Linked DNA regions of Mus musculus: regions 1, 2, 4, 5, 6 and 7 are each reported to be linked to region 3. Evidence: microRNA targets listed by miRTarBase, many of them from high-throughput screens and not tested one by one. Region 3 holds a microRNA gene; each other region holds the end of a gene's coding sequence.

What was found. Region 3 holds the annotated microRNA mmu-miR-467g (UAUACAUACACACACAUAUAU, at 2,948-2,968, opposite strand). A microRNA usually pairs through its seed, bases 2 to 8, with sites in the 3' UTR of a target mRNA and lowers its output. Matches are read on the target gene's strand: a 7mer-m8 pairs with bases 2 to 8, a 7mer-A1 pairs with bases 2 to 7 and ends in A, and an 8mer does both.
Region 1: miRTarBase lists Bub1 as a target of mmu-miR-467g. Seed matches in the 3' UTR shown: 7mer-m8 at 546-552.
Region 2: miRTarBase lists Rsad1 as a target of mmu-miR-467g. Seed matches in the 3' UTR shown: 7mer-m8 at 1,368-1,374 and 8mer at 2,614-2,621.
Region 4: the mRNA of Tmem167 is a reported target of mmu-miR-467g. The part of its 3' UTR that is shown has no 7-base or 8-base seed match.
Region 5: the mRNA of Tas1r3 is a reported target of mmu-miR-467g. Seed matches in the 3' UTR shown: 7mer-m8 at 3,181-3,187, 7mer-m8 at 3,177-3,183 and 7mer-m8 at 3,173-3,179.
Region 6: miRTarBase lists Zgrf1 as a target of mmu-miR-467g. The part of its 3' UTR that is shown has no 7-base or 8-base seed match.
Region 7: the mRNA of Txlnb is a reported target of mmu-miR-467g. Seed matches in the 3' UTR shown: 8mer at 831-838.

Annotation. Positions count from the first base shown.
Region 1 is chr2:127,797,645-127,801,706 of GRCm38, reverse strand. Bub1 (BUB1, mitotic checkpoint serine/threonine kinase) reads left to right here. Exons shown (of 25, transcript NM_009772.2): 25 at 269-1,507. The coding sequence ends at 464. Among named protein-coding and RNA genes, the nearest start is that of Mtln, 7.2 kb to the right of the region's middle.
Region 2 is chr11:94,539,118-94,543,185 of GRCm38, reverse strand. Rsad1 (radical S-adenosyl methionine domain containing 1) reads left to right here. Exons shown (of 9, transcript NM_001013381.2): 8 at 202-305; 9 at 539-3,388. The coding sequence ends at 656. Among named protein-coding and RNA genes, the nearest start is that of Rsad1, 8.1 kb to the left of the region's middle.
Region 3 is chr5:34,729,925-34,733,992 of GRCm38, forward strand. It overlaps Mir467g (microRNA 467g), which reads right to left and starts at 3,048; the gene lies at 2,929-3,048. It overlaps Grk4 (G protein-coupled receptor kinase 4), which reads left to right. Exons shown (of 16, transcript NM_019497.2): 10 at 81-118; 11 at 1,557-1,646.
Region 4 is chr13:90,103,866-90,107,933 of GRCm38, forward strand. It overlaps Tmem167 (transmembrane protein 167), which reads left to right. Exons shown (of 4, transcript NM_025335.3): 4 at 510-4,068. The coding sequence ends at 580. Among named protein-coding and RNA genes, the nearest start is that of Gm24507, 6.9 kb to the left of the region's middle.
Region 5 is chr4:155,856,524-155,860,591 of GRCm38, forward strand. It overlaps Tas1r3 (taste receptor, type 1, member 3), which reads right to left. Exons shown (of 6, transcript NM_031872.2): 6 at 2,745-4,068. The coding sequence ends at 3,663. Dvl1 (dishevelled segment polarity protein 1) reads left to right here. Exons shown (of 15, transcript NM_010091.5): 13 at 1-6; 14 at 91-297; 15 at 1,470-2,780. The coding sequence ends at 1,843. Among named protein-coding and RNA genes, the nearest start is that of Tas1r3, 4.8 kb to the right of the region's middle.
Region 6 is chr3:127,616,050-127,620,117 of GRCm38, forward strand. It overlaps Zgrf1 (zinc finger, GRF-type containing 1), which reads left to right. Exons shown (of 26, transcript NM_197997.2): 25 at 210-471; 26 at 618-1,974. The coding sequence ends at 754. Among named protein-coding and RNA genes, the nearest start is that of Gm40147, 11 kb to the right of the region's middle.
Region 7 is chr10:17,843,072-17,847,139 of GRCm38, forward strand. Txlnb (taxilin beta) reads left to right here. Exons shown (of 10, transcript NM_138628.3): 10 at 1-2,592. The coding sequence ends at 409. Among named protein-coding and RNA genes, the nearest start is that of Gm20655, 9.5 kb to the left of the region's middle.

The sequences.
Region 1 (4,062 bases), not on the chromosome of region 3:
AGATTATTCTTTAAAAAATAATTTTTCTACCAAAGAACTATTGCAAAAAGGCTATTTTAAATCATATTTTTAGAATAAGGTGTATTTAGACATGTCGTTGGATTTTTAATTTCTCCTGTTTGTGATGGATTCTTGATTTGCTAAGATACAGGTAGATGACAGTTGTTTTTTTAACATGTCCACACCTATACAAAGTAGATGGAGGAACTCGTTGCTATGAACGTTAAGGTTGCATTTTATCCATTGTAATATTTTGTCTCTTTATTAGGCTTCCTCATTTGGATATGTGGGAGGAATTTTTTCACATCATGTTGAATATACCGGATTGTCATAATCTTCCATCTTTGGATTTTCTGAGACAGAATATGAAGAAATTACTTGAACAACAGTATTCCAACAAGATTAAGACCTTGCGTAATAGGCTAATTGTGATGCTTTCAGAATATAAGCGTTCAAGAAAATAAAATGAATATGGACCTTCTCCAAAACACACTTAGTAAATTTAAACTCTCACTTTGAATCCTATTTTTTTCATACTTACTATTTATGTATGTTTAAAAAAAATAAAGCCCATATGATATACCCATGTGACCTAGTTGTTCTAAATACTCTAACAAACAAAGTAAGGAGACCCCTGTAAGCAGGCTGATCTATTGGGTTGCTCTTAGTATACAAATCTTCTTGAGAATGATTCAAATTTAGATGCTTTATAGAAGTTACCTCCCTGCCCCCAACTCCAAGACAATTTCTCAGTATAACCAGAGCCCTGGCTGTCCTGGACTTGGCTGTAGACCAGGCTGGCCTCGAGCTCATAGAGAACCACCCGCCTCTGCCTCCCAAGTGCTGGGGTTACGGGAGTAACCACCATGCCCTGCTAGAAATCACCTTTCTAAACACTGACCTATTTAAGTTAAAAGTAAGCCATAAAAAGAGTTATAAATTATGTTTAGTTAGCGTATGTAGGATTAGGTTTCCTTATGGCATTTTAAGAAAAAAAAATGTTTATTTTTCTTCCCCATACTTTTGACCCCCTTTGTTCTCTTTCACACCCCATAGCTTACTTTCCACTTCCATGTCTCATCTGTCAATGTCCCCTCCTCCTTTCTTAACATCTTTTTCCCTTAAGGTCTTTACTTTCTAACCCCATGTATTTTTATACAAATTTCATGGTGTACATCTGAAAAGAATTTTATTGTGTATGATTCCACATTGTCATTATACAACCATCAGTTGATTGATAAACATCTGGGCTGATTCCATTTCTTTGCTATTGTGAATAGAGGAACAATTGACATGGATGTGCAGGTTTCTCTTGTAAAAGATAGAATCCTTTGTGTGCCCTGGAGTAGGAAGCTAGTTCATAAACAGTTCTAGTTTTCTGGGGGTTTGTGTGTGTGTGTGTGTGTGTGTTGTTTTGTTCTTGTTGTGAGACCACCATACTGATTTCCACAATGACCATACTAGGTCGCATTTCAACTAACAATGAATAAAGAATTTCTGTTTACTCAAATGCACACTGACATTTTTGTCTCATGTTAGAGACATGTTCTGATAAGGGTAAGAAAAAGTAGCTTGGGTTGGTATTTATCTCATGGCTAAGTATAATGAATGCCACGCCCCTCCCCTGCTCTCTTTTTTATTTTTTTATTTTTTATTTTTTTTGTTTTTTTTTTTTTTGTTTTTTTTTTTTCCATTTTTTATTAGGTATTTAGCTCATTTACATTTCCAATGCTATACCAAAAGTCCCCCTTACCCACCCACCCCCACTCCCCTACCCACCCACTCCCCCCCTTTGGCCCTGGCGTTCCCCTGTACCGGGGCACACAAAGTCTGCGTGTCCAATGGGCCTCTCTTTCCAGTGATGGCCGACTAGGCCATCTTTTGATACATATGCAGCTAGAGTCAAGAGCTCAGGGGTACTGGTTAGTTCATAATGTTGTTCCACCTATAGGGTTGAAGATCCCTTTAGCTCCTTGGGTACTTTCTCTAGCTCCTCCATTGGGAGCCCTGTGATCCATCCATTAGCTGACTGTGAGCATCCACTTCTGTGTTTGCTAGGCCCCGGCTTAGTCTCACAAGAGACAGCTACATCTGGGTCCTTTCAGTAAAATCTTGCTAGTGTATGCAATGGTGTCAGCATTTGGAAGCTGATTATGGGGTGGATCCCTGGATACCTGGATATGGCAGTCTCTACATGGTCCATCCTTTCATCTCAGCTCCATACTTTGTTTCTGTAACTCCTTCCATGGGTGTTTTGTTCCCACTTCTAAGGAGGGGCATAGTGTCCACACTTCAGTCTTCATTTTTCTTGAGTTTCATGTGTTTAGGAAATTGTATCTTATATCGTGGGTATCCTAGGTTTTGGGCTAGTATCCACTTATCAGTGAGTACATATTGTGTGAGTTCCTTTGTGATTGTGTTACCTCACTCAGGATGATGCTCTCCAGGTCCATCCATTTGGCTAGGAATTTCATAAATTCATTCTTTTTAATAGCTGAGTAGTACTCCATTGTGTAGATGTACCACATTTTCTGTATCCATTCCTCTGTTGAGGGGCATCTGGGTTCTTTCCAGTTTCTGGCTATTATAAATAAGGCTGCTATGAACATAGTGGAGCATGTGTCCTTCTTACCAGTTGGGGCTTCTTCTGGATATATGCCCAGGAGAGGTATTGCTGGATCCTCCGGTAGTACTATGTCCAATTTTCTGAGGAACCGCCAGACTGATTTCCAGAGTGGTTGTACAAGCCTGCAATCCCACCAACAATGGAGGAGTGTTCCTCTTTCTCCACATCCTCGCCAGCATCTGCTGTCACCTGAATTTTTGATCTTAGCCATTCTCACTGGTGTGAGGTGGAATCTCAGGGTTGTTTTGATTTGCATTTCCCTGATGATTAAGGATGTTGAACATTTTTTCAGGTGCTTCTCTGCCATTCGGTATTCCTCAGGTGAGAATTCTTTGTTCAGTTCTGAGCCCCATTTTTTAAGGGGGTTATTTGATTTTCTGAGGTCCACCTTCTTAAGTTCTTTATATATGTTGGATATTAGTCCCCTATCTGATTTAGGATATGTAAAGATCCTTTCCCAGTCTGTTGGTGGTCTTTTTGTCTTATAGACAGTGTCTTTTGCCTTGCAGAAACTTTGGAGTTTCATTAGGTCCCATTTGTCAATTCTCGATCTTACAGTACAAGCCATTGCTGTTCTGTTCAGGAATTTTTCCCCTGTGCCCATATCTTCAAGGCTTTTCCCCACTTTCTCCTCTATAAGTTTCAGTGTCTCTGGTTTTATGTGAAGTTCCTTGATCCACTTAGATTTGACCTTAGTACAAGGAGATAAGTATGGATCGATTCGCATTCTTCTACATGATAACAACCAGTTGTGCCAGCACCAATTGTTGAAAATGCTGTCTTTCTTCCACTGGATGGTTTTGGCTCCCTTGTCGAAGATCAAGTGACCATAGGTGTGTGGGTTCATTTCTGGGTCTTCAATTCTATTCCATTGGTCCACTTGTCTGTCTCTATACCAGTACCATGCAGTTTTTATCACAATTGCTCTGTAGTAAAGCTTTAGGTCAGGCATGGTGATTCCACCAGAGGTTCTTTTATCCTTGAGAAGAGTTTTGGCTATCCTCGGTTTTTTGTTATTCCAGATGAATTTGCAAATTGCTCCTTCTAATTCGTTGAAGAATTGAGTTGGAATTTTAATGGGGATTGCATTGAATCTGTAGATTGCTTTTGGCAAGATAGCCATTTTTACAATGTTGGTCCTGCCAATCCATGAGCATGGGAGATCTTTCCATCTTCTGAGATCTTCTTTAATTTCTTTCTTCAGGGACTTGAAGTTTTTATCATACAGATCTTTCACTTCCTTCGTTAGAGTCACGCCGAGATATTTTATATTATTTGTGGCTATTGAGAAGGGTGTTGTTTCCCTAATTTCTTTCTCAGCCTGTTTATTCTTTGTGTAGAGAAAGGCCATTGACTTGTTTGAGTTAATTTTATATCCAGCTACTTCACCGAAGCTGTTTATCAGGTTTAGGAGTTCTCTGTTGGAATTTTTAGGG
Region 2 (4,068 bases), not on the chromosome of region 3:
CTGAAGTCTGGTGACAGAGGCAGTGGGTAGTGCTGTATGCCAGTTAAAGATTGCACGTAGAGCTCTGTGCTGGGCAGGTGCTCTACCACTGAGCTATTATTCACATTAAATCCAAGTGTGTGTGTGTGTGTGTGTATGTGTGTGTGTGTGTGTGTGTGTGTGTGTGTCGGCCAGCTCATTGCACTGACTTCTGATTCCTAGCACTGGCAGCAGTTTGAGCCCCAGCTGACCCTGTGGGACGTGTTTGGAGCAAGCAAGGAGGTGGAGGAGCTGCTAGCTCAGGGTCTGCTGCTGCTGGATTACAGGTATGTTGGGAATATTGTGCGGAGGGGGCTTCACAGACCCTGGGAGCTCTTGACTACAGATTGGGGCGTGGGAGGACTGCCATAATGAGTGTGTCACAACTAAATGTTCCCCTCCTTTTCAGAGTGGTAGAAACAAGAAAGACCAATAGAGGAGGGCATGGGCTGCCAGGGGTGGGCAGGAATGGGCCTTTATGGTAAAGTTAGAGTCATATCCAGACCTCTCGGTTTTCCAGGGGTCTCCGGTGTTCCTGGGAGGGCCTAGCTGTGCTGGACTCCCTGTTATTGACCCTCCTACCTCAACTCCAAGAGGCCTGGCAGCACAGGCCTTCCTCACCCGTGTCAGGAGGATGACCAGACATCCTTGTATCATGAGGAAGCACCAGTTGGACTTAGAGGGCTGGGCCAGATGGTGGGCATCTGCCGGTAGGTGCCATCTCTGCTCTGAGGTGCTATTGCTTGGCTCTGACACCCCCATGGGAATGGATGTGGTCAGTTGGATGGACGGCTGCCTCTGTTCTGGGGACTGGTATCCCTCACAGCATCCCAGGAGTCACAGGTCAGCAAGTGTTCCCTGCCTAGGATGTCCTCACCACCCCACTCCCACCCCCCGCCACTGGCTTTTGTTGACTTTTTTGGACACCAAATAACACAAAATCTTTCTACAGGGAATTGTATCTATCAGAGAAGCCTCATTCTAGAGAGAAGCCCTAGCTTGTATGGTTCAGTAGAACTAAATCCCCTCCAGGTACCTTACACAGAAGAAATATAGGAACAAGATGTTTACAAAACCATTTGAAGGGCTGGAGAGATGGCTTGGTGGTTTGCTCTTCTAGAGAACCAGGGTTCAAGTCCCAGCAGCCATGTGGCAGCTCACAACCATCAGTAACTCTCATTCCAGGGGATCCGGCACCTTCTTTTCACCTCTTCGTGTACCAGACACCTGTGTGGTGCATAGATATTCATCTAGGCAAAACACTCATATGCATAAAATAAAAAGAAATAAATCTAAAAAAAATATTTTTATCCAAGGCCACTTGTTGTACAGAAATGTAACCTATACTCTATGTATGTCTCATTATTTCCTAAGGGTTGAATTCAGGTTCAAAGTTTTAAACATTATTTTCATTTTTATTATTTATTTGGATTTTCAAGATGGGGTCTCTCTGTGTGGCCTTGGTCCTGGAGCTCACACTGTAGACCAGGCTTGTCTAGAACTCAGAGATCTGCTTGCCTTTCTTTGCCTTCCGAATGTAGGGATTAAAGGCTTGCACCAATACTGCCCACATTTTATTAAAGTGTGTGTGTGTGTGTGTGTGCGCGCGCGCGCGCGCGCGCGCGCGTGTGTGCGTGCAGCCATGGAGGCCAGAGTAGAGTGTTGTATCTTCTGGAGACAGAGTTACAGAGGAATGAATGTGAGCCATCTTTTCTGAGCACCACACTCTGGTCCTCTGGAAGAGCAGGGAGCACTCTCTCCTGCTAAGCTATTTCTCCAGCTTCTATTTTGAATGTAAAAGATTGTGGGGTTTTTTTTCCCCCTGAGACAGTGCCATATGTACCCGACACTGCAAACTCACTGTGTGGCTGAGGACAGTGTTTAGCATCGGACCCCCTGCTTCTGCCTCCCGAGTGCTGAGATCACGGGCATGCACCACCACACCCATTTTTCTGTGGTTCTGGACTTCATGCGCTGAGGCAAACACCACTATCTAAATCCCCAACCCTATCAGGTTCAGTATTATTATTTTTTTAATTTAGATTTATCTTTCTTACTATTTAAGTATTTTGTGTGCATGCCTTTGAATGTGCACACCATGCGTGTGCCTGTTGGATCCCCTGGAACTGGGCTTGCGGATGGTTGTGAGCCACAATGTGGGTGCTGGTTATTGAATGTGGGTCCTCTGCCAGATCAAATAAGTGCCCTTAACTGTTGAGCCATCTCTCCAGCCCCGAGGGTAATAGTGCACAGCTGCATCTTTCCTTTGAAATTAAGGAGTTCATTATCTTGGCTTGAGACCATGAGACCAAATGTCCCATCGCCTGATAATCATTTGACCAGTGACTTTAGCACCTACTAGTGATTCTTTCCCAAATTACTTTTAAAATTTACATTTGTATTTTTAAACATTTACTTATGTCTACAATTGCTCTATCTGCATGTACACCTGTATGCCAGAAGAGGACCTCAGATCACACTATAGATGGTTATGGGCCATTACATTGGTGCTGGGAATTGAACTCAGGACCTCTGGAAGAGCAGACAGTGCTCTTAACCACTGAGCCATCTCTCCAGCCTCAAACTTAGGTATTTTATGTATATGAGTGCTCTATTTGTATATATGCCTGCATGACAGAAGAGGACATCAGATTATATATAAATGGTTGTGAGCAACCATGTGGTTGCTGGGAATTGAACTCAGGACCTATGGAAGAGCACCCTGTGCTCTTATCTGCTGAGCCATCTCTCCAGCCTAGCCAAATCATTTCTTAAATTGAGGATTGCAAAGTATTGGTTTCTGATTCTATTATTCCTTCCAAATTAATTATTTTCCATTTTCCCCATAAAAAAGAACTTTCCTCTGTTATTGTTACAATGTTAAGAATCAGACCTATGGCCTTGTTCAAGCCAGACAACCTCCTTCTATGGTAGGAATCTCAAACCTGTAAATTCCTAACCCTGTAACAGGCTCATCCCATCGAATAGACCTTAGGTTGTCAGACTCCCTGGACGGGGGGGGGGGGGGGGGCGCTGCCATAATGGGTATGTCTCAACTAGATGTGTCCTTGCTCTTCAGAGGGACATATTTCTTCCTGATAACGCAAGACCTTTTTTCTTCTCCCCTGCCGCCTGCAGGGGAATCAGAGACAGTCTGGTGATGTGAAACCTCCCCCTTCTACTGAGATCTATAGGAAGGGGCCCCCCACTCTACCCTGGGGAACTTGGATCCTCTTCAGAACCCTACCATGTTGTCTGTGTGTCTATGACACTGGGGCTTGAATGTTCCCGCTACTGTACACTGTGCCGCTGTGCCTGTGTGTCTGTGGTACTGATAATTCTCTTAATAAATCTCTTACCCCAAAAGACAGACCTGCGTAGCTCCTCCTTGAGGCACTTCCAACCTTTCATTCTTGACTTGGAAATTGTATGCCATGCCATGCATGCGTGTGTGTGTGTGTGTGTGTGTGTGTGTGTGTGTGGTTTGTTTCATTGTGCTAGGGCTGGAACTCAGGACCTGTCACTGAGCTACGTTCTCAGCCTAAAGCTCCTTAACTAATTCCTTATCGTGGCAAAGGGTACCACGGTGCCAGAAGTGATTTAGTAACCCTGCAGGTGGAAGCATGCTGACTTCTAGTGGATGATGAAAGGCCAGGGGATCCCCCACACTGCTTAGGAGTAAGCACGTGTATTTCCCATGTGCCGGTGGGTGTGAATGCCAGTCCTTCTTTGACCCTGTGGTAACGTGGTAACTGTTACTTTATTCATGAACTACTCACCTAGCACCAGTGGTCTGCCAGGCACCGTACTGGGCATGAACAGAGGAATAAGACCTGTCTGTGCTCTCAGGGAGCTTGATGCTGCGGTGACAGATGTTCAGAGATAAAGCGTTGCTGGTTAAGGTGTTTCAGACAGCTATGGGAGCCTGGAGGGCACTGGGTTTTGAGGGGCTGAGAGGAAGAAAGAAGGCGAAAGGTGTTTGTCTTATCAAATCTTGTACCCCTAGAGCCCTGGTGAGTCTAGGCTTAGAGCAGCTGGTGGGTGGCTGGG
Region 3 (4,068 bases):
AAGAGATCGCTGGCTGTTTCTTCTCAGTTCTCAGGAACTGATTTCTGAATAACAGATTTTTGTTGTTTCTTTCCTTGTAGAGACCTAAAGCCAGAGAATATCCTCCTTGATGATCATGGTAAGAGAGCCTTCCATGCTTAAGTGTAGGCTTGTCAGAAAAGCTAATGTGGACATAGTCAGTTAATAACGCAGACTGGAAACAATAACTAAAAGAAACTCTTTGGGATGTGTTCTTTAAAACACACACACACACACACACACACACACACACACACACACAAAAACCAATTGACATTGCCATCACCAGTACTTACACAAAAGCAGAGACTCCATATATTAATGATTAATGTTTTGAAGTAGGTGAAAATAAACCCCAAATGAGTATTTGCCCTCCTGTTTTTTGCTATTGACTCTATTTATTTTTATTCCTTAGCCCTCTAAACTTGGCGTGCTGCCCTCTATGCTGTCCCCTTATCATATATCAATTGTCACAGAGTGGGGGTGTAGAATGCTGTTATGGGGACTGGTCATGATGTGATAGCTCCTTATCAGCATCATGGGTGCCTCTGACATTGGTATCTCTGGATCTGAGAGTGAGCCCTATTGCTAGGATGCTGGTTGTATGTACACTAAGTAGGTTAGCAATTTGAGAAGGAGCTTATGATTAGTGATTCTTAATAGCTAAAAGGATCTTTCTGTGGAGTAGGAAACATAAACCAGAGCCAGAGTGATTCCTGGAAAGAATAGGCTAGTGTAGCTCATTACTGAAGGCAAACATGGGACATTATCAGACTTAGCTTTTATATTTACTTCTGCCACTGCTTTCTGCTCGTTACCTAACTTATGTACTGACCCCAATGAAGAAGAAAGGTGCTTGAAATTTCATTTATGGAATAATTAAGAAGTAATTTGACTGCTTCCAACTCTTAAACTTGTGATTTGTGCTGGGTTATGCTGCACTGGTATCTAGAGTTGGCATTGAAGGGAAGTGAACAAATTATATTGAAATACATTGAGTAGTTTACTAGGTGTCTTATGAGGGTAAGTCTAAATCCTATGATAGGGGTCCTTAGAAGAACACTTTCCATAATTAGTTACTTTCATAGGACTGTAGCCAACATTTATGCCTTCCTATACCCAAAACATTTGAACAGTACAGTTCTCTAAGTGAAGTAGCTTAACTGATAGTTATGAGTAAATAATAAATATGGTTCCTCTGGTTTTTATCTAGTGGTGATTTACTGTTAAAGGGCTTCTTTAGGTATAAATATAATTTCTTGCTGTTAGTGAAACTCAGTGTGCTATATGAAAGTACATTACATATGTAAAAGTTAAATATAATTTTTAGATATTGCTATTTTTAATACATTTTTGTGTGTTTTTATCACTAGGGATAGAATCACAAGCCTTATATATCATATACAAGGGTTTTATTACTGAGGTATATCCCCAGCCCTCATCAATACGTTTTAGATGGACTTTGCCTCGCAGTTATAAATTGTCACTAAAATGTTACTTTTCCCAATGATCTGTACTTTGTGTGTGAACCTGCACAGGACACATCCGAATTTCAGATCTTGGTCTAGCTATGGAAGTCCCAGAAGGGGAGATGGTACGAGGAAGAGTTGGTACTGTTGGCTACATGGGTAAGTGAAAGATGACTTTGGTGGACCTTATCCATACCTTCTAGGTGTCCTAGGGCTTAGAACCTAGAGGGAAGACTTAGCTTTTAATTTACTTTAAGTGTATGAACCTCATTAAGCCATAACAATAATGCTACATTAAAACATTAATTTAAAAAATATTTATATTACATTTATTTATTATTATGTGCATGTATCTGTACATATGAGTACCTAAGGGAGTGCATGTAAAAGTCAGACAACAATTCAAGTGGGTCAGTTCTCTGCTTTCACAAAATTCAATTAGTCAGGCTTGAAGGCAAGCACTTTTACCCATTGAGCCATCTTTCCTGCCCCTAAAATAGCACTTAATAAAGCTAATTATCACTCTGATACTTTATAAACAAACACAACAATTCAGTCTTCCTGTTGGAAAACAACAATTAGCTCTAAGTTTAATTAAAAAAACAAAACAAAACAAGATTTTGGGGGGTCAGGGGAAGCTGGGCATGGTGATCTATGGGATTAAAGGTGAGCACTACCACACACATCTAATAGACATCTCTCCCCTGCCTTTATTGTTATTTTGAGACAGGGTTTCTCTGTGTAGCCCTGGCTGTCCTGGAACTTACACTGTCGACCAGGCTGGCCTGGAACTCTGTCTCTGCCTTCTGACTGCTGGGATTAAAGGCTTGTGCCACTATCTCTGGCTTCTTTCCTTACTTTTATTAAACAGATTCTTTTCTCATACAGTATAATTTAAATACAGTTGAATACAGTTCCCTTCCCTCTGCTCCTCCCACTTGTTCCCCACTCTTCTCCATCCAGATATACTACTCCCTGTTTGTCTCTCATTAGAAAAGAACAGGCTTCTGGGAGATAACAAAACATAACAAAACAAAATATAATAAGATAAAATGAAAACTATCATATTGAAGTTGGACAAGCTAAGCCAACAGAAAAAAATGAAAGAGGCCCAAGAGAAGGCACAAGAATCAGAGACCCACTTGTTTACATATTCATAAATTTCATAAAAGTACTAAACTGAAAACTTTTATTTATATATATGCATATGTGCATGTATTTATTTATATATTTATAAATATATAAAAGTTATATATTTATATATATTATATATATTCCCCCGCAAAATGCTGGGACTAGATATCATCCAATTGAGTTGTCAACTGAAAGAGTATCATGGAAATCCCTAACAACCCAGGCTGTTACCAAGACAGTAGGTTGCTCTCCACAAACTGACAACAAGGCCTCATTACATTCATATATATACATGAATATACATATATATATATATACATGAATATATATATGTGTGTGTATGTATATATACATATACATGTGTATGTATGTATATATATGTATATATATATACACACACACATATATATATATGCATGCACAAGACCTGGTGCAGACCCATGTAGGCCTTGTGATTGATTGCTGCTTTAATTTCTGTGAGTTCATATGAAATTTGCCCAGTTGTTTTAGAGAACCTTGTTCTCCTGGTGTCCACTCTCTCTTCTGATTCCCCTATTCCTCTGCCTCCTCTTCTGAGGGGTTCTCTAAGCTCTCAGGGGAGGGATTTTATGGAGATATCTGGTTTAGTGCTCTCTCTCTCTCTCTTCTCTCTCTCTCGCTCTGTGTGTGTGTGTGTGTGTGTGTGTGTGTGTGTGTGTGTGTGTGTGTGAGAGAGAGAGAGAGAGAGAGAGAGAGAGAGAGAGAGAGATTTGGCTCTTTGCATTTATTGCCATCTGCTGTAGGAAAAAGCCCTTGTGGTGATGACTGAAAGGCACTGAACTGTGACTATAGCAGAATATCATTAGAAGTCATGTTATTGTTACTAATTTTTTTGACCAGTGATATTTGGTTATACTCTAGGTTTCTATGATATCTAGACTCTGGTTCTTGATGACACAATCAGTGTTGGGTTTGGGTATGGCTATGTAATAGGCCTTACGTCAAATCAGACATAGGCTGATTACCCCCACAGAGTTTGTGTCACCATTGTAGATCTAAGGATTTGTGGTTGAGTTGCTGTTTGCTTTTCTCTTTTGGTACCCTGCAGAATACTTTCCTATGTCATAGGCATTATAAAATGGGAGCAAAGGTCCTATGTAGGCATCAGATTGATCTTTCCATTTTCAATGAGTTGTGTAGGTATTGTCTTCAGCAATGAGCCCTTGTCAATTTGTGGAGAGCAACCAATTGTCTGAGTAACAGCCTGAGTTGTTTGGTGATTTCCATGGGACCTTTTTAGCTAACAGCTCAACTGGATTATACCCAGTCCCAGCACTGGAAGCTTCATTTAGTGACAAGACATGGCAATTAAGAGTTCTGACTCCCTCATTATTTGGAGACTTCATTTGGATTGCCTTCATATAGTTAGTTTTTACTGCACTAGATTTCCATACTGCCCCACAAATAA
Region 4 (4,068 bases), not on the chromosome of region 3:
TTGGCCCTGGAGGCACAGCATAGGTGCTCTCCGGTACACATCTCATAAATAGCTTGGATTTAGTCGCTAGCCATGTCCATCCAGCCCTTTTACATTGAGACATGACATTGACATCTACATAGTACACACTTGCAAACTACAAAGTAGAGTTAGAATAATAATAATATCTCATGATGTGGCAGCAAAGTTCAGCAGGAAGAGGCACTAGCCTAATAATCTTGAGTTAAGTATCCAAAATTCATATCAAGTCAGAAAGAAAGAACCCACTCTGAAGTTGTCCTCTAACCTCCACATGTGCACTGTGGCATGATCACTCACATGAATACAGTACATCATAAGAATAGGTTTGGATTTGGGTTAGATCCCTTAAGTTTATTTCCTTGAGCTGAAGTTTTAATGTACCTTCTTGCTTGTTGTCTCTGGGTCCTTGTTTTTCCTCTCTTATAGCCTTATCATATCCATAGTAGTCATTCGTTCAACCAAGAGGAATGTCTTCTTTTCTTCAACAGGGGAACGCAAGAGTCCTTATGTCGCCATATGCTGTATAGTGATGGCCTTCAGCATCCTCTTCATACAGTAGCTTTGGAAACTACCAGCATGTGCTTGCTATCAGACTGTAAACAAGGACTTGCCTCCAGAAAATAATGGGAAGAATGGTTAAGCCATTTGTCTCTGAACATGGAATGAGATAAACTTCAAGATGCTGTTCTCTATTTTTATGCTATTGGACCAATGAGCTGAATGAATAATTAAGATGTAACAGTTCAATACACAGGAATGTGATTGTATCCATCAACCTCAGTTCTCTCACTCCAGTATTACATTCTGCAAATGTCATTCTGTTGTGTCAGGACTGCTTTTCATAAGGTTCTTCGGGCACGAAGTAGAAACCCAGTGGCAAATTCCAAGGCTCCTTTGACTAGGGCTTCAAAATAATGTCTTCACAGAATGGTACCTTCTAGCGACTGGCCTATTTTTATTGAGAAAAAAACTTGTTCTATTTTTGTTGTTGTTACTGTTCTTATGGATTGCATTCATATTTAAACCCTTTGGATTGCTAACCAGAGTACCTCTATTCTTGGCAAATTCCGCAGTTTATTACAGGTGTTTAAAGTATTTTAAACAAAACTCTGAATTTCTTTAGTTAGCCTAAGAGTTGGCTTCTAGTCACAAAGATACAGCTGCCACACTGTGACGAAGAGCACCTTAGAAAGAAAAGCAGCAAGTGAGCGGTGAGCAAGTAAGCACCGTGCAGTCTTCGTTCTCTGTAGTCTTGTCTTCCAAATAGAACGTCCATCGTAGTTACCCAAAGGTGGTATTTGTGGTGTTCTTAATGCAGTGCTTTAAGTCTAGTGTATGTTCTGTCAGCTTGAACTGGAATCTCTCTTGTAACTTTGTAGGTTATAAACATATCTCATATCTGCTTTAGTCTGGGTACTATGCTCTAAGTACATTTCAGCTTTGACACAGAATGTGAATAGACGAATATCAAAGGATACTTACAAGTTTGTATCCAACATTTCTTCAGGTTCAGCTGAAAATCAGTTACTGTTTCAAAACAAAGAGGAATTAAATCCTAGCTGAAAACTATACATAGCATTTATTAATTAATTACTGGGTTTAACTGCTCTTTTTAAAAGTTTGAAAAAGAAAAAAAAAATTTTTTTCTTAGAAGTGAAGTTTCTATAAAAACAAAGCCCTGAACTTGCAGTCTTCACTGTGTAGCCCAAATGGCCACCAGAGCTAGCTAGACCATCAGCTTTGACATCGTGCTTGAAGCTGTGGAGGACAGTGTAGTAGTCTAACATCTAGGAACGCCTACTTGGTTTGTAGAGGTTGCTTGTTTTTAAAAAGATTTTTGGGATGTCTGCAGCTAGTTAAAACTGGTCTATTTTTATGATAATTATTCTACTCTGAATTTCACCTTAAGCTTTGTATTAGGTCAAGGATTTTCACTGTGTCCCAAAAGTAGGACTCCCTCGTCACCATATTTGTGCACAGTAAGTAGTCACCTATCACTTTGATTTCTGGGTGGCCATCTGTTCATCATCACTAACAACATTTCCAGAAATGTTGTCAACTTTTTTCCTAAGTTAACATGCATCTCATATCAAAATGGAGAGAATAAGAATCATCTAATATGTTCTCTTTAGTTTGACATTTTAGACAATGTAGGTGGAAATTAGAGGAAGACATAGTTAACTTGAAATATGCATGGTAACATACAACTTTTCGCGGTATGTAGATACTGAGCAGTCTAGACAGGTATTTCTAGCCACTACCGTCCTGATCGTTTAAAGTACAGGCTCTTTAGGGGTGTAGGAAAGCTGCAAAGATAAAAGAATCATATAAAGAAAGGCAATTAGCATTTTTGGTGTACAAACACTGACTCCTGTTTTCTGAGCCACGGGGTCGTGTGGGAGGTGTGAAGCCCACAGAATATTTAGCTGTCTTTGTGAGTGGGGTGTGGAGGAGCAGTAAAGCACTTCGGGCAGCTGGCATCTACACAGACTGTAAACACAAAGCTTAGCGGGCGAGGAGCACTAAGACTCAGGTCTGACAATGTCCACATGTTCTCCCTGGCTGCCTTGTTGGCCCTAGAATCTTCAGTCCATGTCCCCACATTTGTTTTATGTTGCTGTTTGGTTTCTGATTAGCTTTATCTGGGCCATTGACAGGGCAGGATATGTCTTGCTTCCAGGTAGTCTTGCAAGATAGTCAAAAGGACACATGTCAAATTGGTCTTAATAGTTTTAAAAAGTTAAAATTCCAATATGGTGTCCTATTGATACCTTTTCTACTTAGGCTGGAAACTACCATATATGTTTCAATTCAAGGTGTTTCCTGCTGGGGTTAGTAAGAATATAAATTTATAATAAATTTGTTCATCTTCTTAATAAAATTAGTCTTGTACCATAGGGTGACACAGAGTTCCATAAATTAACTCTTCCAAGTTTACAAAGACAAACAAATCCTTGCCTCCATTTGTGAAAATTATTTAACACTTGTAAATAATATTTTTTTCAGGAAACATTTACACAATTGGTATGGCATGTGACCATTGAAAATAGATGAGTTGTTTCTCTGTATTCATAATGTACATGAAAGATGAAATTAATGTCTATGAAGTATAATGTGCTAATTCTTGTTATTGACATAATCCCAGGATTCTAGAAAAAAAAATGAAGAGTGATGATTCATTGAGGGTAGAACTTCTCAGAGATCATGAGTTAAACTGATCTTGACAGTGTTTTTTTTTTTTTAAAAAAAAAACAAAAAACAATTCTATGTTAGGGATTGTATGTCCCTTAGTTTGTGAGGTATGGTGTGGCCATAAAGGTCAACGGATGTTATATTCTGGAAAGTCATGTATTTTACCTACCTCAAAATTGAAGTTGAGATTGTCCCCTCCTGCCTCACAAATCCTTCAGGAAGATAATAAAGTCTCCCTTGGTTTATGAGTGAGCAAAGTTGACTAAGGAATACACTAGTAGATTCTCCTGAGACTTTTGTAAACATTGTAGAGGCAACTGGCCAGTCAAGGCTGTGTTTTCAGAAACTTGTAAAATCTCGTATTCTATCTGCTAAAAGCAGCCCCAGCTGTTAAAACAGGCACCCATCCCAAAAGTGCACAGTTTACATTTCCTGGACATACAGAAAATATTTCTACTTATCAAGAACTTAAGCTCCACAAAAGCCTTTGAGAAGCTACTCTGTCATTACTATCTGAAAACATGAATGGAAAATTCTTAGGGCTGCTCTTCTCTTCCTTTGTTACCTTCTAGTAATAATAAATGTTCTCAAACGGTGCTAGCAATCGCCCTTGTTACAGGGGGTCCTGACTAACTTCTGAGAAATAACTTCATATCATTTCCACTTTGCCCTGAACTAATTCCTAAATAATCTGACAGGCCATTTCAGTACCTTTTGTAGAAAGAATTCCTGTTTAAAAGAGGTAGTCGTCCTAGTCTCTGGTTAGTTCATACATCTGCTGTGTAATAAAAAATGAACTGTCAGAAGCCGTCTAGTTTTGATATATCACATTGAAAGAGAGCAGTACATGGAGCT
Region 5 (4,068 bases), not on the chromosome of region 3:
GCAGTAGTGAGTAGGGGTGCGGTTGGGTAGGGTTGCTGTGGCCTCATTCATTTGCCTTCACTTACCCCTCCCTCCCTCCCTCCCTGCCAGACCTCGCATCCCTGAACCTCAACAGTGGCTCCAGTGGAGCCTCAGATCAGGACACACTGGCCCCACTGCCCCACCCATCAGTACCCTGGCCCTTGGGTCAAGGCTACCCCTACCAGTACCCAGGACCCCCGCCCTGCTTCCCGCCTGCTTACCAGGACCCTGGCTTCAGCTGCGGCAGCGGCAGTGCTGGGAGCCAGCAGAGTGAAGGTGAGAGGCGTGCCACCCCTCCTCCCACTCCCTCCCACTCCCACGCTCTGCCTGGCCCCGACGCTTCCCTCTGTGCTCCTGCTGTGTGTTTGAGTCCCGGTGGGTTCCATCTCAAGAGTCAGTGTGTGGGACAGGGAGGGGCTGATGTGGGTAGAAGCCGTTAGAGAATAGGAAGACAGCCTGGTGTGCTAGGTGGCAGAGGCAAGAGGCCAGGAGATGATATGGCAAGAATGAAAGTAACCACTGATAGCAGGTAGGGGCACTCTCTAGGCCCCAAGCTAGGGGGAGAATGGGCTTTATCAGTTATGGAGCCTGCATCCCAACAGAGTGCCAGATAAGAGTATCAAGCAACACTGTTAAAGCATATCAGTGTTAAAGCATATCCCAGGGATATTGAAGATCTTGAAGGGTGGGTGTCCCTCAGGAGGAGATGGACTGATGTGGAGGTCTTAGGCAGAGTGGGGCACACTTGTGCTACAAGGTCCAGAGAAAGACTCAGGAGAGGTTGGGCCAGAGGGTGGCAAAGCCCAAGGGGAAGCTATCGAGTGAATCCTGACCATGGACAGGCCCTTGCATGTACCCAGGCTCAGCTTGGCCCAAAATCGTCCTATTAGCCATTGGTGAGCACTGGACTGGTGTGTGACTTGTGCTATCCCTTGCTTTGTGCTGAGCAAGCCTTAGACTGAAGGACTAGCAGAGTGGACTCTCGGGCCGGTAAGCCAGGTCCCCCTGTGTCCCTCTCAGCATGTCCCCAGCCAGCACGTGTTTTCAGGTTCCCACTACTTTCAGGACAGGGGCTAAGCAAATTAGATGACCAGGGTCCTGGGGTTGGGTGGACCCTGGTTGGGTCTTTGGGTGGTGAACCCAGGATGGCTAATGGGAATGCTGGGCACACAGGGCCTTCGCTGGTTTTTAGTTTCTCAGCTGTAACATTAACCCTTGGTTCAAGCATTGGGGTTAGGTGTGGGGTGCCAGGCTGGCCCCTGTTGTCCCTGCTGTCTGCCACTGCCCCTAGCTTCTCGCCTCTCAGCTGTTCCTGGTATCTGCATGGCTGCCATTCCCCTACCATCTCCAGGCTTACCAGGTCCTGCCCTGACTGTCTGGGAGCAGCTGGTGGCCCTGGAAGTGGCCAGGCCTCGTGCTGACTCTGTTGTCCCCTTCCCTCCCCCTAGGGAGCAAGAGCAGTGGGTCCACACGGAGCAGCCATCGGACCCCAGGCCGAGAGGAGCGCCGGGCAACTGGAGCTGGGGGTAGTGGCAGTGAATCAGACCACACAGTACCAAGTGGGTCTGGTAGCACCGGCTGGTGGGAGCGGCCTGTCAGCCAGCTTAGCCGTGGCAGTAGCCCTCGAAGTCAGGCTTCAGCTGTTGCCCCAGGGCTCCCCCCACTGCACCCCCTTACAAAGGCCTATGCAGTAGTGGGTGGGCCACCTGGAGGGCCACCCGTCCGGGAGCTGGCTGCTGTCCCTCCAGAACTTACAGGTAGCCGCCAGTCCTTCCAAAAGGCCATGGGAAACCCCTGTGAGTTCTTTGTGGACATCATGTGATGATCAACCAATGTCTTCAGCGCTGCCTGTGGCTGAGTCTGTGCTCCTGCTGTGCCAGGAGCTCTGCGCTGGCCGTGGTGGTGGCCAGCCAGGATAGATCAGCTGTGGGCTCTGGGCCAGGGCAGAGGGAGCAGGCTACAGAGGAGGGCCTGAGGGCAGCCATACCACCAGGATATTGGCTTGACATTTTGTCTGCTCTTGGGGCTGCTGATGGTGGTACAGCTCAAGTATCTATAGAGTCTTGTAAGGAGACATCTCTGACTTTAAGTCCTCAGCACAAGTCTCAGGGACCACCTCCTGGTTCCCTTCTTTGGAAGTGACCTCCATTTAGAACAAGAAAGGCTCTCTTGGGCTCTTGGTACCCCTTGCCCCAAAGCCTCACAGAACTGTGCACAGGGACACAGGCTGACTGTCGCTAAGTTCATGGGCCTCACCTGTCAGGCCAAGGTGGGATTTTTGAGGGGTTAGACAGAGCCTTCAAACCTCTCTGGCTGCCCAGGTGGGGTCTAACTTATTTATTTATTGCTAGCCTGCCTGCTCTAAGGGTGGCAGCTAGTTACCCAAAGGGGCAGTTTGCATGCCCCTTTCCCCACCTGCTACTTGGCACATGACAACACAGTTTGTACTGAAGGTATGTGAAGGGTAGCTAGTAGGAGAGACAGGAGAGAGACCTGGCACCTAGCCACTGTCTCAGTCTCAGTGGTGGGTGACAGTGAACACAAGAGCTGCAGAGCTGGGCCCTGTTCTGTTTCTGTTCTGGTGGCTGCCCATCATCATGTGCCACTGCCATCCCGGCACAGCGGCCCCACACATCTACACTAGACACTGTGTCAAAGTCTGAGTGACTGGGTAGTTGACATAGAGCTGCTTCTGTGTAAATGCTGCTTCTGTGTAAATGCTATTTTAAACACTAAAAAAAGCGTTTAATTTTATGGGACTGATGTGTGGCTTGTTTCTCTTTTCTCCAGCTGAGCTGCTCCGGGATTCAGGTGTGGGGGCCAGTCCAGAACTGACCCGGGTCTGATCCTGCCTGCAGATGGACGATGCTCTTGTCCCTTGCCGCTTAGGCATGTGGCTCTGTCCCTGGTGCTGGCCAGTAAGGGGCCTTGCGGCAACTTTTCTGTCCTTGGTACTAGAAGCTGATTCCAGGGGTCCCGCGTGGCTGGCGCTGGCCGTGGTGCTGACCCGCACCCTGTGTGTGATCTGTCCAAGGTGCTGGCGGCGACCTGGTTCTCTCCTACAGGCTAGGGCTCAGCTAGGGATGGAGAAGGCTGGATGTTGCCTACCTCCTGAGTGTCCTCTGCCTGATGTCTTTCTTGTTCTGTCCTGATACATACATACATACGTACATACACACACACACACACACACACACACACACACACACACACACATACATGCCCAGCCTTCTATTCCTGGGACGCCTGGACAGGGTGCTGAGTGAGGGCTCAGGGCTGGGCATGTTCAGGCAAGCAGTACCTTCTGGTCTCCCATGGTCTGCCTGGGGAATTTCTGAATTCAAAGTATGGCTATGAAGTCCCAAAGAACCTTTTGTGGGTCACCTGGGCAGGCCTTAGGTGGGCATAATAGGATCAAGGATAATCTTGCTTTGAAAGGATAGGTGGGCTCATAGGGTCCATCTTGTGCACTGCAGGCCTTGGGGGTTTGGGGAAGGGGTCACTGTGAGGCTAAGGTCAGTGGAGTCCAAGTCTATAGTTAAGTGTCTCACGTCTCAGGCTGAGGTACTATTCGGGGCTTGTTGGCTTAGGAGATTTCTGGTAGGGCTAGGTTCCCTAAAGGGAAGGTCACGGGTCAGTGGTCATTCATTGTGTCCCTGAGCTGCCTCACCACCGCCACTGTTCTCATCTGCTGCTTTCTTGGCATTCCTTCCCAGGAAGAACTCCTGGGTGTTGAGCTTTGGCAGCCAAAGAAGCACATAGCACTTGGGCAGGTGGAAGGTGACCAGGATGCCCAGGGCACAGACTAGGATAGCACCCATCTGCACAGCTGGCTGGTAGGCCACCTGCACATTGGCCAGGAGGGGCACAAAAGAGACCCAGGTGATGAAATAAGCTAGCATGGCGAAGGTGAGACCACGGGCACGGTTGTAGCGGCCAGGCTGGCTCTGTACCAGGAAAGTGCCCAGAAAGCAGAGGAAAGCTAACATTGCATTGGTGATGTGCACCAAGCCCAGGCTGACCCAGGAACGCACGTGGCAGTGCTCC
Region 6 (4,068 bases), not on the chromosome of region 3:
ATCCCTGCAATAGGTTAATCACTTTTGATTATTCATCACAAATAATATTGTCATTTCCAATTTTAGATACTTTCTACCTAAATCCATGTGAGTCATAAGAAAGAAAGAAAAATATTCCTGAATTTACTCCTGAATGGTTGAACTGCCCAGTTTAGAGATGGAGTTTTTCCTGATTTCTGCATTTTCTGACCCTGTTTGTTTGTCTGCAGATTTGCAATTTACTCAGTGCTGTGGACGTCGGCCATCCTGATGTTAAAGCTGTGCAGGTGTCCACAGTGGATGCCTTTCAGGGTGCCGAGAAGGAAATCACTATTCTGTCCTGCGTGAGGACAAGACAAGTAGGGTTCATTGACTCAGAGAAACGAATGAACGTTGCTTTGACCAGAGGAAGGAGACACTTATTGATTGTAGGAAGTTTGTCCTGTTTGAGGAAAAATCGACTATGGGGGCGTGTGATCCAACACTGTGAAGGTAAAAAAAAAATGCAATTAAAACTGACTCAGGGGCGATTTGTAAGGAATCACTGGGCCCATGGCCCCTTGGGAGATGCCAGAGGGGACAGTAATGTGGAAGCCCCTTTTGGTAAGGAACGATTCCCGTGTTCTGTATCTTTTCAGGAAGGGAAGACGGATTGCAGCATGCAAGCCAGTGTGAACCACAGCTGGACCATCTTCTTAAAGACTATTTAGAAAAACAAGCAGAAGAAAAACAGAAAAAAAAGGAGAAAGAGAAATCAAAGGATAAATCTCATTAACAACGACAACAAATCTGGGCAAGGGTGTTTCTATTGTAAATTCAGAATCTTTTTGTACTTATTCTTAATGTTTTTCTTTACTCTAAAGTCCCTGATACAAACAAGTTTCATTACTTAAAATAATGTACTGAATAAGTGCATGCGAAAATGTGCTCTTTAAGGTGTGCTATACATTAAGATAGGCAATTGCAGATGCTTGTGTGACAGGCAGATATTTTGCTTGTGAAAGTAACAAGTTTTACAAGAGGCTGGAAACCATTCCTGAGATTATCTGTATGCATAAAAAACACACAACTGAGTAAAAAACAAAAAAACATAAAAAACCCAAAAGTCTGCGTGCTGAGCACAGCTCCCACAGTGGATTCTTCTGACAGACTGGAACCCGTGCATCGCCCCACCATTTTACAGCTAAAACTACTGATAATAAAAAGCTAAATAAAGAAGCACGAGAGGAAAGGTGGACACAGCACTGTCCTTTGCACTGCTGCTCGGTAAGTCAGGTTTCTTCACATCTCCTTGGACAGAACTTACTAGTATATATGTAGTAGAATAAATGGATAAAGTCCTTTTTATTCTAAAGCTAACATGTTCTTATAGAAAAATATACAAAATACAGATTATATAAAAGAAACCAAAGTTACTTAGAAATCCACTATTCAGATAATCATTAACATATTCAGTCTTTTTCTGTATATTCTCTCTATAAATATATACATGTAAGTTTTGAACCACTTGAGTCTACACGATTCTTAGGTATTGTTAATAAAGGAATATATTCATATCCAGGTAGAAAAAAATGTCAGTCTTAATCCTAATTGGTATTATTTTTAGCAAGGAAAACATTTAGGGACAACCCAAGTCATTTAGTATTTATTCTGAGAATCATTTTAGAAATTATTTTAAGAGTACTGAAAATTGTGTCCCCAGATTTCCTTGTAATAAAAACTTCCCAGTCTAGGGCTGGCAGGATGGCGAGGTAAGCAGAAGCACTTTGCTGCCAAGCCTGACAACCTGAGTTCAGCCCTGGATCCCCCACATGGTACATAGCAGGGCAAGCTGATCCCTGCAGGTTATCCTCAGACTCCACACATGCAGTGGCTCACAGCGCCCATCCTTCACAATATGCTAAATTAGTATAGTTTTAAAATGGTTATTTATGGTTATTTATTTATAGTTATAACGGTTATTTACTTATTAAAAAATGATAACTGTCTCTGGAATTCTTATGTGGAAAAAAAAGGTAATTCCAACCACACTTGTGGTAGAGCAGTGGGGTGTGTGTGTGTGTGTGTGTGTGTGTGTGTGTGTGTGTGTGTATGTAGGGGGTAAGGACCACCATGTATGTCCTTTGGTTGGTGATTCAGTCTCTGGGAGCCCCCAGGACTTAGGTTGGTTGACTCTGTTGGTCTTTTTATGGAGTTCCTATCCCCTCTATGTCCCTCAATTCTCCCCCCCCCCCACACTCTTCCATAAGACTCCCCAAGCTCTGTCCAATGTTTGGCTGAGGGTCTCTGCATCCATTTCATTTAGATGCTGGGTGGAGCCTCTTAGAGGACCAGGTATGGGGAGAGATGAGGAGAGAGGACAAGGAGAATAAATGGAAATTGACAGCCTGAGGGTGGGGGCACCTCTAGGACATACGAGAGACCTGGGATCCAGGAGTCTATGAGGATGACTCTAGCTGAGACTCCTGGCAGTGGGTGATATGAAACAAAGTGCAGGCACAAAGATGGAACAGAGACTGAGAGAATGGCCAACCAATAACTGGCCCAAGTTGAGACCCATCCCATGGGCAAGAACCAATCCCTGACACTGTTAATGATACTTGGTAATGCTTGCAGACAGGAGCCTAGAATAAATCTCTTCTCTTCTCTTCTCTTCTCTTCTCTTCTCTTCTCTTCTCTTCTCTTCTCTTCTCTTCTCTTCTTGTCTCTTCTCGTCTCGTCTCGTCTCGTCTCTTCTCTTCTCTTCTCCCCTCCCCTCTCCTCTCCCCTCCCTTTTCCCTTCTCTCCTCCCCTCCCTTCCCCTCCTCTCCCCTCCCCTCCCCTCCTCTACTCTTCTCACCTTTCTTCTTTGTTTATTTTGGGTTTGTTCTTTTTTCCTTTCTTTTTATTTATTTATTTATTTATTTATTTTTTTGACATAGGGTTTCTCTGTGTAGCCCTAGCTGTCCTAGAACTCACTCTGTAGACCGGGCTGGCCTCAAACTCAAGAGCTCTACCTGCCTCTGCATGTCTGTCTTTTAATTTTTCAGTTGTTTATTTTTATGTACATGATGGTTTTGTTTTCATGTATGTCTGAATACCACTAAAACCAAGACTATAAAATAAAGAAACAATGTGAAAGCTGTAAGAAAAGCACCAACTCCCAGAGGGGAGCTCTTGTTCTTGCGAAGTACCCAGGGTTTGATTTCCTAGCACCCACATCACTTCCTCAGGCACCAGGCATGCATGTGGTACAGACAAAGCAGTCATACACATAAATATAAACAAACAAACAAAACATAAAGTTTCTAGGAATAAACTTAAGGATAGAACATTGCGATGAAAATTTTACAACACAAGAGGAAAGAATTTGAAGACTCAAGACAGGAAAATCCCCTATGCTGATAGGGTAGCAGAATCAATATTTTTTTAAAGATTTATTTATCATTATATGTAAGTACACTGTAGCTGTCTTCAAGTCAGATCTCATGGATGGTTGTGAGCCACCATGTGGTTGTTGGAATTTGAACCTTCAGAAGAACAGCCAGTGCTCTTAACCACTGAGCCATCTCACTAGCCCCTAGAACTAATATTATAAAAAGGCTTGTCAGTGCAATCCTTATAAAAAAAAATTCCAGTGACATTCTTTAGAGAGTCTGAAAGAGCAATCCTAAAATCAGTATAAGACCACAAGAAAGAACAACAGAAACAACAAAAAGCCAAAACAGTCTTAGTAGAAATCTTGGTTCTGGAAGTACTGCAATCTCTGAGTTAAAAATATACCATAGACCACAGTAACAAAACTATACGGCACAAAACCAGACATGAAAATCAGTGGATTTCTATAGAGGACCCAGAAATATACCCATATGGTTCCAGCCAACATAACAAAGGTTCAAAAATATATATGAGAGGAAAGAGTTTGCTCAATAAATGTGCCGGGAAAGTGGATATTGATCTGCAGAAGAATAAAACTTGATCCATATCTCACCCTATACTCAAACCAACTTTTAAAAATGAATCAGAACTGGAGAGATGGCTCAACAGTTAAGAGCTCTGACTGCTCTGAGGACCTGAAGTCAATTCCCAACTACACATGGTGGCTCACAA
Region 7 (4,068 bases), not on the chromosome of region 3:
CCATCCCAGCCTTCCCGCTGATTCAGGGAGTCCTCGGCCCCCTGTAGGTGCTCAGGCTGTGGCGGAGGGCGTCTGTGAGGCCACACCTGCCCCTACAGCCTCCTGTACCCCTGCAGAGGCAGAGCTACAAAGTCAGGGTCTCCCTGCAGAAAATACCCCGGGTCCGAAGCCCCATAAACCAGAGGCAAACACTTCTGGTCAGGCCCCACTGTCCCCAGCCCAGGGCTCCCTATCTGTAGTAGAGGCAAAATATGATATTTCACCATCTCCAGAGAGTGAGGGAGATTCTGCTGTGGTGCCCGGCTGTGAGTCTAGGGAGCAGCCCCCACCAGAAGTCACAGACATCCCCGTAGGCCCTTCCACTGGACTCCCCAGAGAGCCCGATGCTTGTCTGAATGGAGTAGACTAAGCCTTGTTGATTCTTCTGGCTGCTCACCTGACTGCATCTTCCTCACAGAAGAAAGTCTGTGAAAGAAACTTCTAGGACTAGGAAGAGTTAGAGTCAAGACATTTTTAAAGTTGTACAGAACACTTCCAGTCTTTGCTGCTGTTTGCAATTTATAACTAATATGGAAATTCTCTGTGATTTGGCAGCCAAACACATCAATAGCAAATATACATTACTTTCCCATTACATTGGTGCCTTAATCCAGTTTGTTAGCAGTAAGATTTTGTATTTAAGGACTCCCACTATAACAAATAAATACACTGAAATATTACATTTATTTCCACAAATAACCCAATAAGATCTATAATGGATATCCAGGTTCCATTTAAATAGCATAATATACAGTGTACTTATGTGTATACACAATACACATAAATACATTTATGTATACACATACACATGTATTTTCATACGTGCATATAAAGTCATCACACAAGTATATTTTGCTCCTAACAGATTTTTCTCTATTGCAAGATATGCTTGTAAAAATTTTTCTATCTTACTTACACTCTGGACTACAGTAGATTAAAGCTCTATGGATCAGAAATAGCACATGTGCTACAATGCCTGGACACAAAGAGGACCACAAGAGGCTTTTAACAGAAAGGGGAAAAAACACAAACAGGTGCTTCTGATCTTCTCAGCCAACTTCCTCCCAACTTCCCAGCATCACCTCCTGGGTTGAGGCAGCCGCCTCCTGGCTACCTGTGAGAAGGTGGTTGGAAATAGAGAAAGCACCTAAGTAAGATTTGAGAGGTTGAGTATCCTCAGCTTAGAGGTCTCAGCCTCTTTGACTACTGATATCTCAAGAAAACACTTTTTGTTGTCTCTGACATTGTCTTTATCTCAAAGCATCTATTCCTTCCAAATTTCCTCCTTTGCGTCAATGTGTGTGCCTGGCCCACATCTCAATTAATGTTAAGTAAAATGTATTTTTCCAAAACGGAAATACATACGAGCTCTCAATAGGAGTAACAAGGCTTACAAAGCTAACACATTTTCTGCTCTAAGAATTTTTGAACAGGCAGAAGTACAAAATTTTTAAAAGGGGGGGGGGGCCTCCTACTCATAATTCAAAAATAACAGGCAAGGACTCCATAGATGTCAAAAGCAAGAAGCACTTGGGATTACCCAAACAAGTTTTATACTCTCATTGTTCGCAAAAACCTCTAATAACACTGGCAGCATAAAATGCTCTGCCTAGGCTCAAAGAAAACTGTACTAACAGAACAGGGAGAGGTGGGAAGGAGGGAGACAGAAGGTGCATAAAGAGAGGACGGTCTAATCTAACTCTATGTTAAGAAGTTGAACACAGGTAGAAATGTGGATAAAGGAGGATTCTTGAAAACTCATCCAGGAAATCACTCTTCAGTGGTGCACGTGGCTGCTTGCCAATGCACACGAGGAGCTGGGAGGCAGTAGCCATATGTTGAAGGAATTATAAAACTGTATAAAATTTATTTGAAGTAGACAGTAAGGGAAAGAACAAAAATACCATTTGGGGAAAAAATCAGGGGAAAAAGCATGCCATTATTTGAGAACCCATGTGTTTTCAGAGGCTTTGCATATTATAACCACACGGGTATCCAGCCAAGTTCAACACCACTGGAAATTAGACATTCAATTAACTCAAAGCCAAATATTCACTACACTAATCCCTTCTCTCTGTTTACAGGAGCTGAGCTTCAAAGAACAGAGTAGGATCATCACAGTTAGGTCTCAATCCAAGAGCTTAGGAAGACAAACAGGCAGGAGGCACTGACATCCAATAAATTAAGTGTTCTCATATCCAAAGTTTATTATTTTCATCCAAGAGGGTTTCACAGCAACATATCACTCACAACTGTGTGTACCTTTGGCACAGTTTCACAGACTACACCTTCCCTGAAATCTGTAAAGCTTTAATATAGACTTTGGGAGAATTATTTTAATAGTAAAAGAATGTTTTATTATAGTTCCTTGTGTTCAAACTTGGCTGTACTAATCATAACAACTCATAAGATCTGAAAGCAGAAAATATATCTCTTTTTATGAAGTTCATATAACTATTTTTAGAGATGCCAAGTCTTTCTAGAAACACTGGAATTATTGCTTTCTAAATGTAATAACATAATGTTTATACCAATTAAAAAGGCATTTCTTCCAAGTTTTCTAGTAGGTTTTTTAAATTATTTTTTATTGGATATTTTCTTTATTTACATTTCAAATGTTATCCCCTTTCCTGGTTTCCCTCTCTCCCAGAAACAATCTATCACATCCTCTCTCCCACTGCTTCTATGAGGGTGTTCCTCCATCCACCCACCCACTCCACCTCCCTGCTCTCATTTCCCCTATACTGGGGCATCTATTGAGCCTTCATAAGACCAAGGACCTCTCCTCCCATTGATTCATGACAAGGCCAACCTCTGCTACATATGCAGCTGGAACCATGTGGACTCCTTTGTTGATGGCTTAGTCCCTGGGAGATCTGGGGGGGGGGGGTCTGGTTGGTTGATATTGTTGTTCTTCCTATAGGGTTGCAAACCCCTTCAACTCCTTCAGTCCCTTCTCTAACTCCTCTATTAGGGACCCCATGCTCAGTCCAATGGTTGGCTGCTAACATCTGCCTCTGTATTTGTAAGGCTATGGCAGGGCCTCTCAGGAGACAGCCATATCAGGCTCCTTTCAGCATGCACTTCTTGGCATCCATAATAATGTCTGAGTTTGGTAACTGTATACAGGATAAATCCCCAGGTGGGACAGTCTCTGGGTGACCTTACCTTCAGTCTCTGCTCTACACATTATCTCCATATTTGTTCCTGTGAGTATTTTGTTCTCCTATATCTGATACAGGGCTAATATCCAATATATACAAAGAACTCAAGAAGTTAGACTTCAGAGAACCAAATAACTATTTTAACGATCAAAAACTCAAGTGACAGCAGATGCTGGTGAGGATATGGAGAAAGAGAAACACTCCTCCATTGTTGGTGGGATTGCAAGCTGGTACAACCACTCTGGAAATCAGTTTGGTGGTTCCTCAGAAAACTGGACATAGTATTACCTGGGGACCCAGCCATACCACTCCTGGGCATATACCCAGAAGATGCTCCAACATTCAATAAGAACACATTCTCCACTATGTTCATAGAAGCCTGTATAGTAACCAGAAGCTGGAAAGAACCCAGATGTCCCTCAAAAGAGGAATGTATAAAAAAAATATGGTACATTTACACAATTGAGTACTACTTAGCAATTAAAAACAATGAATTCATGAAATTTTTGACAAATGGATAGAACTAGAAAATATCATCCTGAGTGAGTTAACACAATTGCAAAAGAACACACATGGTATGCACTCACTGATAAGTGGATACTAGCCCAAAAGCTCCAAATAACCAGGATACAAATCACAGACCACTTGAAGCTCAGTAGGAAGGAAGACCAAAGTGTGGGATTTTTTAATTCCTTTTTTTTGGGGGGGGGCTATATTTTCCCATGATTTAAGAATACCTAATTAAAATATGGCATTATTCTATTTTTGGTTGAGTTTGGGCTTTCTAAATAAAATGTATATGTAATAAATCCTTTGAGGATATACATATACATGCTATGAAGGGGGAGGGGCTAAGGAGTAGAGG